Linked DNA regions of Coturnix japonica. The protein of the gene in region 1 purifies or fractionates together with the protein of each later gene. This does not show direct contact. Links are inferred from orthologs where the notes say so. Each region holds a gene or a part of one and is shown in the gene's direction. Other genes may lie near its edges.

What was found.
Region 2: the proteins of JAZF1 (region 1) and NR2C2 purify together in Homo sapiens (affinity purification with mass spectrometry; 4 studies listed by BioGRID and IntAct, with this or other methods). This does not show direct contact. The link is inferred for Coturnix japonica from reciprocal best matches to the Homo sapiens genes JAZF1 and NR2C2.

Annotation. Positions count from the first base shown.
Region 1 is NC_029517.1:30,231,955-30,235,517, reverse strand, and holds part of JAZF1 (juxtaposed with another zinc finger protein 1), read left to right. Parts: intron 1-2,206; coding exon 2,207-2,403; intron 2,404-3,563. UniProt on the Homo sapiens protein: Acts as a transcriptional corepressor of orphan nuclear receptor NR2C2. Inhibits expression of the gluconeogenesis enzyme PCK2 through inhibition of NR2C2 activity.
Region 2 is NC_029527.1:17,099,497-17,103,695, reverse strand, and holds the start of NR2C2 (nuclear receptor subfamily 2 group C member 2), read left to right. Parts: upstream 1-1,380; 5' UTR 1,381-1,493; exon of another isoform or gene 1,494-1,901; intron 1,902-2,054; exon of another isoform or gene 2,055-2,262; intron 2,263-4,199. UniProt on the Homo sapiens protein: Orphan nuclear receptor that can act as a repressor or activator of transcription.

The DNA of each region.
Region 1 (3,563 bases):
TATTTGATCTATTTAAACAAGATTTCTTTTTGAAAGCTTAGTACTGACAGTGCTTCGGCAAACATATAGGAGATTATTTGGATCTGAAAAGGTTAATTTCATACTTCACATATCAGGAACTGAACTTTTCAACACACTCTGCCTTCCATCTCTCTCAAGTTTCAGTGTAGACAACAAATGACATTTTGGAACATACCCGACATGCTTAGCCCAAATGGGAGTGAGTTAACAGGACAGGGAGAAGTTTCACATTTTCCTGATTTTTATGGACCTCAACCAGACTAATTATACCCCAATATTATTTTAACATTGTTATTCATGGCTGAGTTCATTAAATAACAGCATTCATGCTGGTGCTTTTTAACGTCTCACGCTTGAGGTTATCATCCAAGTTCTCAAGGATTTATAATGTTGCCATAACATTTTCATAAGGAATAAGGCTTCCCATCCAGAAGCAAGCACACATCATACTACAGGTTCCAAACACAGTGAATTAGATGTTTCCTGGTGAACAGAAAGTAAATGTGTACTGAAAGGCCATTTTATTATTGCTTTTCTTTTTTTCCCTTTAATGAAATTTAGAATCCTGTTTGGGGACTGTTTTGCTAATAATATCTCTACCCTTTTGCGAGAAAAGAAATTTAAAACTGAACTGTTACTATGGATATCTTCTTTTTAAATATTAACTTAATAAAAATGCCATATCTGTGTTTGACATGATGCATTGACTCTGTTACAAAGAAGATAAGCTGTCGTGTCATATACCTATTTATTAATGTCTGCAGATTGTGTGTTGATGGTACATATCATGGCAGAGATCCACTTTTAATGCCCTCATGGTATGGTTGGACGGGATGCATCTTTATTATTCTAAGGATACTTGAGTTTTTGTGCTGCTGTGTTACAATACCTCGATTGCTTTTTCAAACAAGCTGGAGGTACAGGCCAATATTTTCTTTCATATTTGACATACAGGTCTAAAAGCCCCTTTTTTTCTTCTTTTATTTATTAGTTCCCCTCTAGTTCCTTACATTTCACCATTCCACAAGAGCTGGGTTTTTTAGAGCTCTCTCTGTAAATACTATCTAATATGCATGCACTCATAAGCAGCAGGTGCTGTGAGCAGTCACAGAATGTTGGGTTTCCATGAATACACTGATTAACATTAATTGAAACTGTTGTTTGAGTTCGCAGAAGAAATGAGACTTTCTTGTAGCACTGTGTTGTAGATTGTGTGGTATATTGTGTATTGCTGTGAGACCCAAGGTGGGTCTTTGGCCCTGGCATCATTGCTCCTCACCTGTGCACTACTAGTTTTGGGTGTTTTATGTGCAATCATTACAATACTGCGATCTGCAGAATCACTTTGTCCAACCAGCCAGCAGTCTGCTTCTTCATACGCTGACTGCTGTGATCCCTTTTCTCAAGTCTGTTGCTAACTGTACATCTATCTCCCAGCTCTGTGCTGGTTTTGGGGCTGCTTTTATGTCTTCTAAACTAGTGGGACGTCACCTCACACAACAAGCCATTTGGTGTGACTATTGAAAGATAGCCAGGTTGCCCTTACTTAGTCCAATACAAATAATTGCTGGTAATTTTTGTCATTCTGTTTCCTTGCGGAATCACAAATAGGAGTTTCTAGGTGACAGCTGGCTCCAGGGCAACTGCAGCATATAGTCAGCAAAGAAGTTCTCACTTATCTGAATACGCCCATCACAATTTGCCAAGGTTGTAAGTTCATCATTTAAACCTGGGATCTTGGCTAAAATCTGGCTTCCTCTGAAATCAGAGAAACCTTTGAGAGTGTAGATGTGGCATGAAGGACATGTATTAGTTAGCATGGTGGGTATGGGTTGATGGTTGGACTACATAATCTCAGAGGTCTTTTCCAACCTTAATGATTCTATGTAACTTAAACATTCTGTATCACGTGTTATTATATTATTTACTGGCAGACATAGTTTATGCCTTGGAATAACAGTAGAGGACCATGCAGAATAAAAGATGATTTTCTTTGGGCTGTCTTTTTATGAATCTTTCAAGATGGCTCCTTGTTCAGTGGAAGGGAGAGCAAATAAGGATTAGAATTCTACTGGAGAAGTCATGGCTGATTTTGAAGCTCCAGTTGGTCAGTGAGCGTATTACCTAAAGCTTTCACTCTGGCAGCTGTTGAAGTCTCTCATCCTCATGATTGCCCTTTTTCTAGGTTTATGACTGATGCTGCTCGACGTGAGCAGGAGTCTTTAAAGAAGAAGATTCAGCCGAAACTCTCTTTGACTTTGTCAAGCACAGTGTCCCGTGGGAATGTATCTACTCCACCTCGCCACAGCAGTGGAAGCCTTACTCCTCCCGTCACCCCTCCAATCACTCCTTCCTCTTCGTTTCGTAGCAGTACTCCAACAGGTAAGCATATACTGTTTGCTTATACCCAAATCAGCTTGCATTTTTTCTGTGTGGCTTTTGAGAATATTTATTTAGAGAACAGCTAAGCTCTGAACACTCTATTATCTTCTCTCTGACGGAGGTATTAATGTACTCTATCTGCTCAGTGTAGCAGTTTCCATGAGTTATGTATTAGTATCTTTTACAGTTTTGATTGAAGTCAGCCAGCAGGCTGAAAAGTCAGCACATTTTGTCGATAACCAAGTTATCCAGATTGTCCCAGGTATAAAAATCCTGGGAAGTTTTTTTCACTGCTTGAAGAAACTGGAAGTTGCTTGCTATGTTGAGCCAGATCTCTTGACTGAAGTCATTCTGGTTTACATTAGCTAGGGATCTTGTTTCAGACAGTAGCGATACACTTCAAGTTAAATTTCATTGTCATGGCAATACTCTTATCTTGAAGGTGTTTGGGACAATTTCAGATGTACCACAGATAGTGGTTTTTTGTTGGTCTGCCACAATCTATGCAGTTTTGTAATAAACAGAATCAACGTATTCCTCTTAGTAAGAAATAGCATTAGTATGCCTGCTTTGATAAATTGCCTTGCCATGTATTTTGTGTAAGCTATTTAACATTTTGGTATTAACTATTGAATGATAAAGGTGTAGTGGTCCATGTTTCACTCTCTAAGTTCTGAAATGAACGGTTTGTTCAGTGTGTCCCTGGATATGTAAAAGGGAAGCATGTTGAGTTATAGCTAAACAACAAAGTCTGAATGTAATACAGAAAATTTAACAAGTAAATTTGTTTTTAATCATCTCCACTTTGGATACAGATGTCAAGGAATTTCTCCTTCCATTTGTTGTGTTTTGTTCAACTTCTACTGAGTGGGCTAATTCATGATGTGGTCAGGTAGCACAACTCTGAATGCCTTTCAGGACCACCGGCTATCTGCTGTTTGAAATACACTCCATTAAACACTAAAGAGAATTTATACTAAAATAATTCTGGTTTTGTTATTTATATAAACTTTCAGTCTTTTAAAGTTATTCAGAATGTTGTTTTACCTGCAGTTAGGAGAAACAGTTTGTTTTGGCTAAGTGAATTTCTAAGTTAACTGAGTCCTGCTTGCCAGGTTATAAATAATAGCCAGCTTCCACTTTCTGCATTCTGTGCTATG
Region 2 (4,199 bases), on another chromosome or scaffold:
CATTTTAAACTAAATTTCTTTGCTCTCATGCTCACATAATCACCAGAGAACAGCTGAATGGCAAATACCTAAAAAAATAAAAATACCTAAGCAACACTGCAGGACACTGAAAAGTTCATAGATGTATATTCAGGAGGGAAACAGCTGTTTATGAGGGTGGATAGTGATAGGGCAAGGGGGAATGGTCTTAAAATGAGACAGTGGAGGTTTAGGTTGGATCTTAGGAGGAAGTTTGTCCACCCAGAGGGTGGTGACACAGTGGAACAGGTTGCCCAAGGAGGCTGTGGATGCCCCATGCAGGCATTCAAGGCCAGGCTGGATGTGGCTCTGGGCAGCCTGGTCTGGCGGTTGGTGACCCTGCACACAGCAGGTGGGTTGAAACTGGATGACCACTCTGAGCCTTTTCAACCCAGGCCATTCTACGATTTCCCTCACACTCCTGGAAAGGAAAAAAAGAAGAAAAAAAAAAGAAAAAAAAAAAGAAAAAAAAAAAGCATCTACACTTTATATTTTATGAAGAAAAATGTATGCAAATATGTTTTGAAACGTCTTCTTTTGGAGGAATCCACATTCTTACATTCAAGAATTATTATCATTTCTCATCTTCCAGCTTCGCTGTCTGACCATTCCTTAACAAGAAATAAACTTACTAGAAGTACTAAAACTAAGCTAGGTAATTGTGATGAGCATAGGTTTAAAAAATGCTACAAACATGACAGAGCTGGGCCCACGAGTTCACGTTCAGTGACCACAGAGATGACAAGCCCCTAACAGCAGTGAACTCCTAAAGCACCTCAGCTGTTTACAGCAAAGATGCCAGACAACACCTGCAGTCATACATTCCGAAGTGGAACAATCTTCACGGCCTAGTTCCACTAGGCGAGCCCTAATCAGTGAGAACAACCAGATAAAATCAAACAAAAACTCAACACTATGTAAAAGTAGCCTTAAAGTACCAAACCTTTTGTGACTTAGCACCTCAGTACAACGCACCGGCACTCCCAGGGACGAGCGCCACCTGCCGCGCAGGTGCTGGGTCTGCTCGTCCTGCCGCCACCGCGCGGGCTGCGGCCTGGCTCTGCTCGGCGGAGCGCTGGCTCGCAGGGGCTCAGGTAGCCCCGCCCCTCCCCGCCGCCATCCTCGGCCCCGCCCCGCGATGGGATGGAGGGGCCCGAGGGCGGCATGGTGCCGGGAAGAGGAAGCGTCGGGACGCACTCGGTCGGTGGCGGCGGTCGGGGTCACGAACTCTGACCTTTCACAAGGCCCTGAAAAACAACACAGAACCCCTTTCCCTCCCCCACACGCGCACACGCTCCCCCCGCCCCATAACACAGTTCCACCCCCTGTATCCCTCCGTGGACCCCGTTAAGCTCCCACTGCCACCGCCCCTCGTAGGGGGGGTTTGGGCCGCCTTTGGGCACCGCCACCAACGCCGGCCCGCCCGGGCCCGGGTCAGGGGCGCCGCCGGGCCACGTTTGGCGTCAATTCCTGAGGTAAAAATCGTTTTGTCTTTTTTTTTTTTTTTTTTTTTTTTTTTTTTTCTGAGATGGAGACGGCCGTCTCGGCTTCTTCGTCGCGGCGGGGACTAGGGAGGGGGCATCGGAATCCCGTTCGGGAACACCTCCGCGAGCGGCAAAGGGGAAAGGTAACGCTCGGTTCTGGGGACGTGGGGGCACTGGAACACCGTCCGTCGCTGCGCAGAGGCAGCCGGCGGTGCCGCAGGCCCGGCCCGTGGCTCCCGAAGAGAGGGGCAGATCGTCGTGGCGCTGGGATGATCCGGTACGGTATCCCGGTACGAAGACGCCGTGCTGGGATACGGGCCTCGTGAGGCCGGAGCCGGTCCGGTCTCGGTGAGAGCCGTCCGCCGTCTGGGGGCCGCCGGGACCGCGGTCGTGGAGATGCTGAGCGCGGGACGCGGACAGAGAGGGAAGATGGAGTCTGAGCGGGCGGAGGCGGCGGCGTGAACCCGACCCTTTTACCTTTGCCACCGGGAGGGCGGAGGGGAGGGGGCGGTGGGTACTTTGCATACGGGGCTGAGGCCGCCGCCATCTTACCGGCTGCCACCCCAGCGTCGCGCGCGGTACCCCCAGCTCGACATGAGGGGATACCAGAGGGGAGGGGGGCTAATGGCGGAGGCGGCCGCTGCCCCGCCTGGGACTTGGCTGCCTGCCAGCGCGGCCATCTTGTGCGCGCTCGCGTCCCTCGGGTGTTTTCCTCCGTCCTCGAGGGGCGGTGCCGGCGGTGTGACAGGCGGCCCTCGTGGCCAATGGGCAGCGCGGGTGGGTGTGCCGCATCTCCGATGAGGTCATTGGCTGTGGTGGGCGGCGGGAAGGAGGAGCGTGGCCGCGGGCGCCGCGTCCCCAGGGAAGCTCCGTGATGGGCTGCGGGGGAAAGGGGATGGGCCGCGAGCAGCGCTGCTAGTGGGTGGTGGGGCGGCTGTCCCGGTCTGGGTGTCTTTCTGGAGGTGCTGGGGCTGCTCCTGTGCGGGTCGTTGACTTTGTTCTTTTTCGTTGTAAGAGTTTCTGCTGCCTTCTTACCACCGCTCGTAGCGTAACGCGGGTCCTCAGCAGAGCCGCTCTTGCCGACCCCTGTTTCCCGTTCTGTACTCCAGGCTCCCGCTGGGGCGATGCTGAGCTGCTGCTGGTCGGTACGCAGTGTGCAGAAAGCAGCCCCACTGATCAGTAGGAGGAGGTTTCAGTACAGCTGAACTCGGCTTTGCTTTGTGTCAAACTTGTAGGACTGTTCCCATAAAACACTGAACAGAGTGTGAGGAGTTCTTTGTTACAGGACAGGAGATGAACGTGTGTTCAGTTGGCTGCTGTCCTGTTGTGTTGGGATTGTTTTCCTGGTGCTCCAGGTCATTTTTTTCCTTTTTTTTCCTGTTTTTGTGTTCTGCCTTTTTTGTTGGTTGACTTGGATACTTTTTTTTCCCTCTCTTTTTCTTTTTGAGGGGTTTTGCTAGGCAGCAGAATCTGCTTTTTGTGTTGCTTTCTGTTGAAAGAGTAAAGGATTTTGGTGGATAACAACTCACAACAAGTTTGTTAAGTGACTTACCACAGGAAAACTTGATTGAGTCTTAAAGAGGTGTTCTTAGGAACAAAATCTCATTTTCAATGCTTCCTTCATCCTAAAGTGCTGAGAAAACATGAGCATGTCATGGTTTTTGGTTTTTTTAATGGACTTTAAGAAAATGTCTTCCACTGATATATATGATCATTTACACAACTAGTTTACCACAGTAGGATTTAACTATGAATGAACTGTAACATTTTAAACAGCACTAGCTTTGTAAAAGTTGAGTTTGGAGGGAGGGTGTTGTGCTGGAGACACGAATGTATTTTTCTGTTAAGTGTTGTTAGTAGGTGGTTTGCTATGTTTGTTTTTCCTTTTTAACTTTATGTGGAATGATTGCTTTGCAAGTATCAGCAGAAGGCTGTCAGTGAAACGTCAAATATGCTGCTATTCAGGAATGCAGTTTCATTACCTACACCTGGGTGGTCTTATGATTTCTGACTTTGTAAGAAGAAAGTCAGTGCAGGAATTTGAAACCTTAGTAAAATTTAACTTTGAGGAAACACAGCCCTTATGAGAATCATTAATAAGATACAGAAAATATTTGTTCTTTTTTCTTCTGCATAAAGCTCAAGGTACAGATACCCACAACAGTATAAAGCAGTTCTGTAGTACTCTCATGTCAGACTGACTGTACTACCGCATTATAATTAAAATGTATTTTCTGTTATCCAAAATGGTTTCTAGATGTAATCTAGAACTTTACCTGTACTGTGGTAGATTACTGTATGGGTGATCATGGCAGTTTGTTGGAATGACTCAATAGAAGTTTACTGAAACACTGATTGCAAATTGCTGTTTCCTTGTCCAGGGCATAATCAGGAGCAGTTTATCTGAAGTTTCCCATCCCTTGAGTTCAGGAGAGCACTTACAAGATCTGTGAATTCCACAGATTGCACTAATAATTGATGCTTAAATCAGTTCTTTCTGTTTTATAAAATTAGCATCTTATTCTTGCTGCTTAAATAACAGAGTAAAAAACTTGTATGATAAACTTTATAAAGTAAAAGAATAACTGCCTCTAATAGCAGAATTCAGCTTGCTTTTTGAATACTGTATTTCCTGTATGCACATATTGCATGTATACATGTATATACACTCACGTATCCACACCATATCTTATTTTT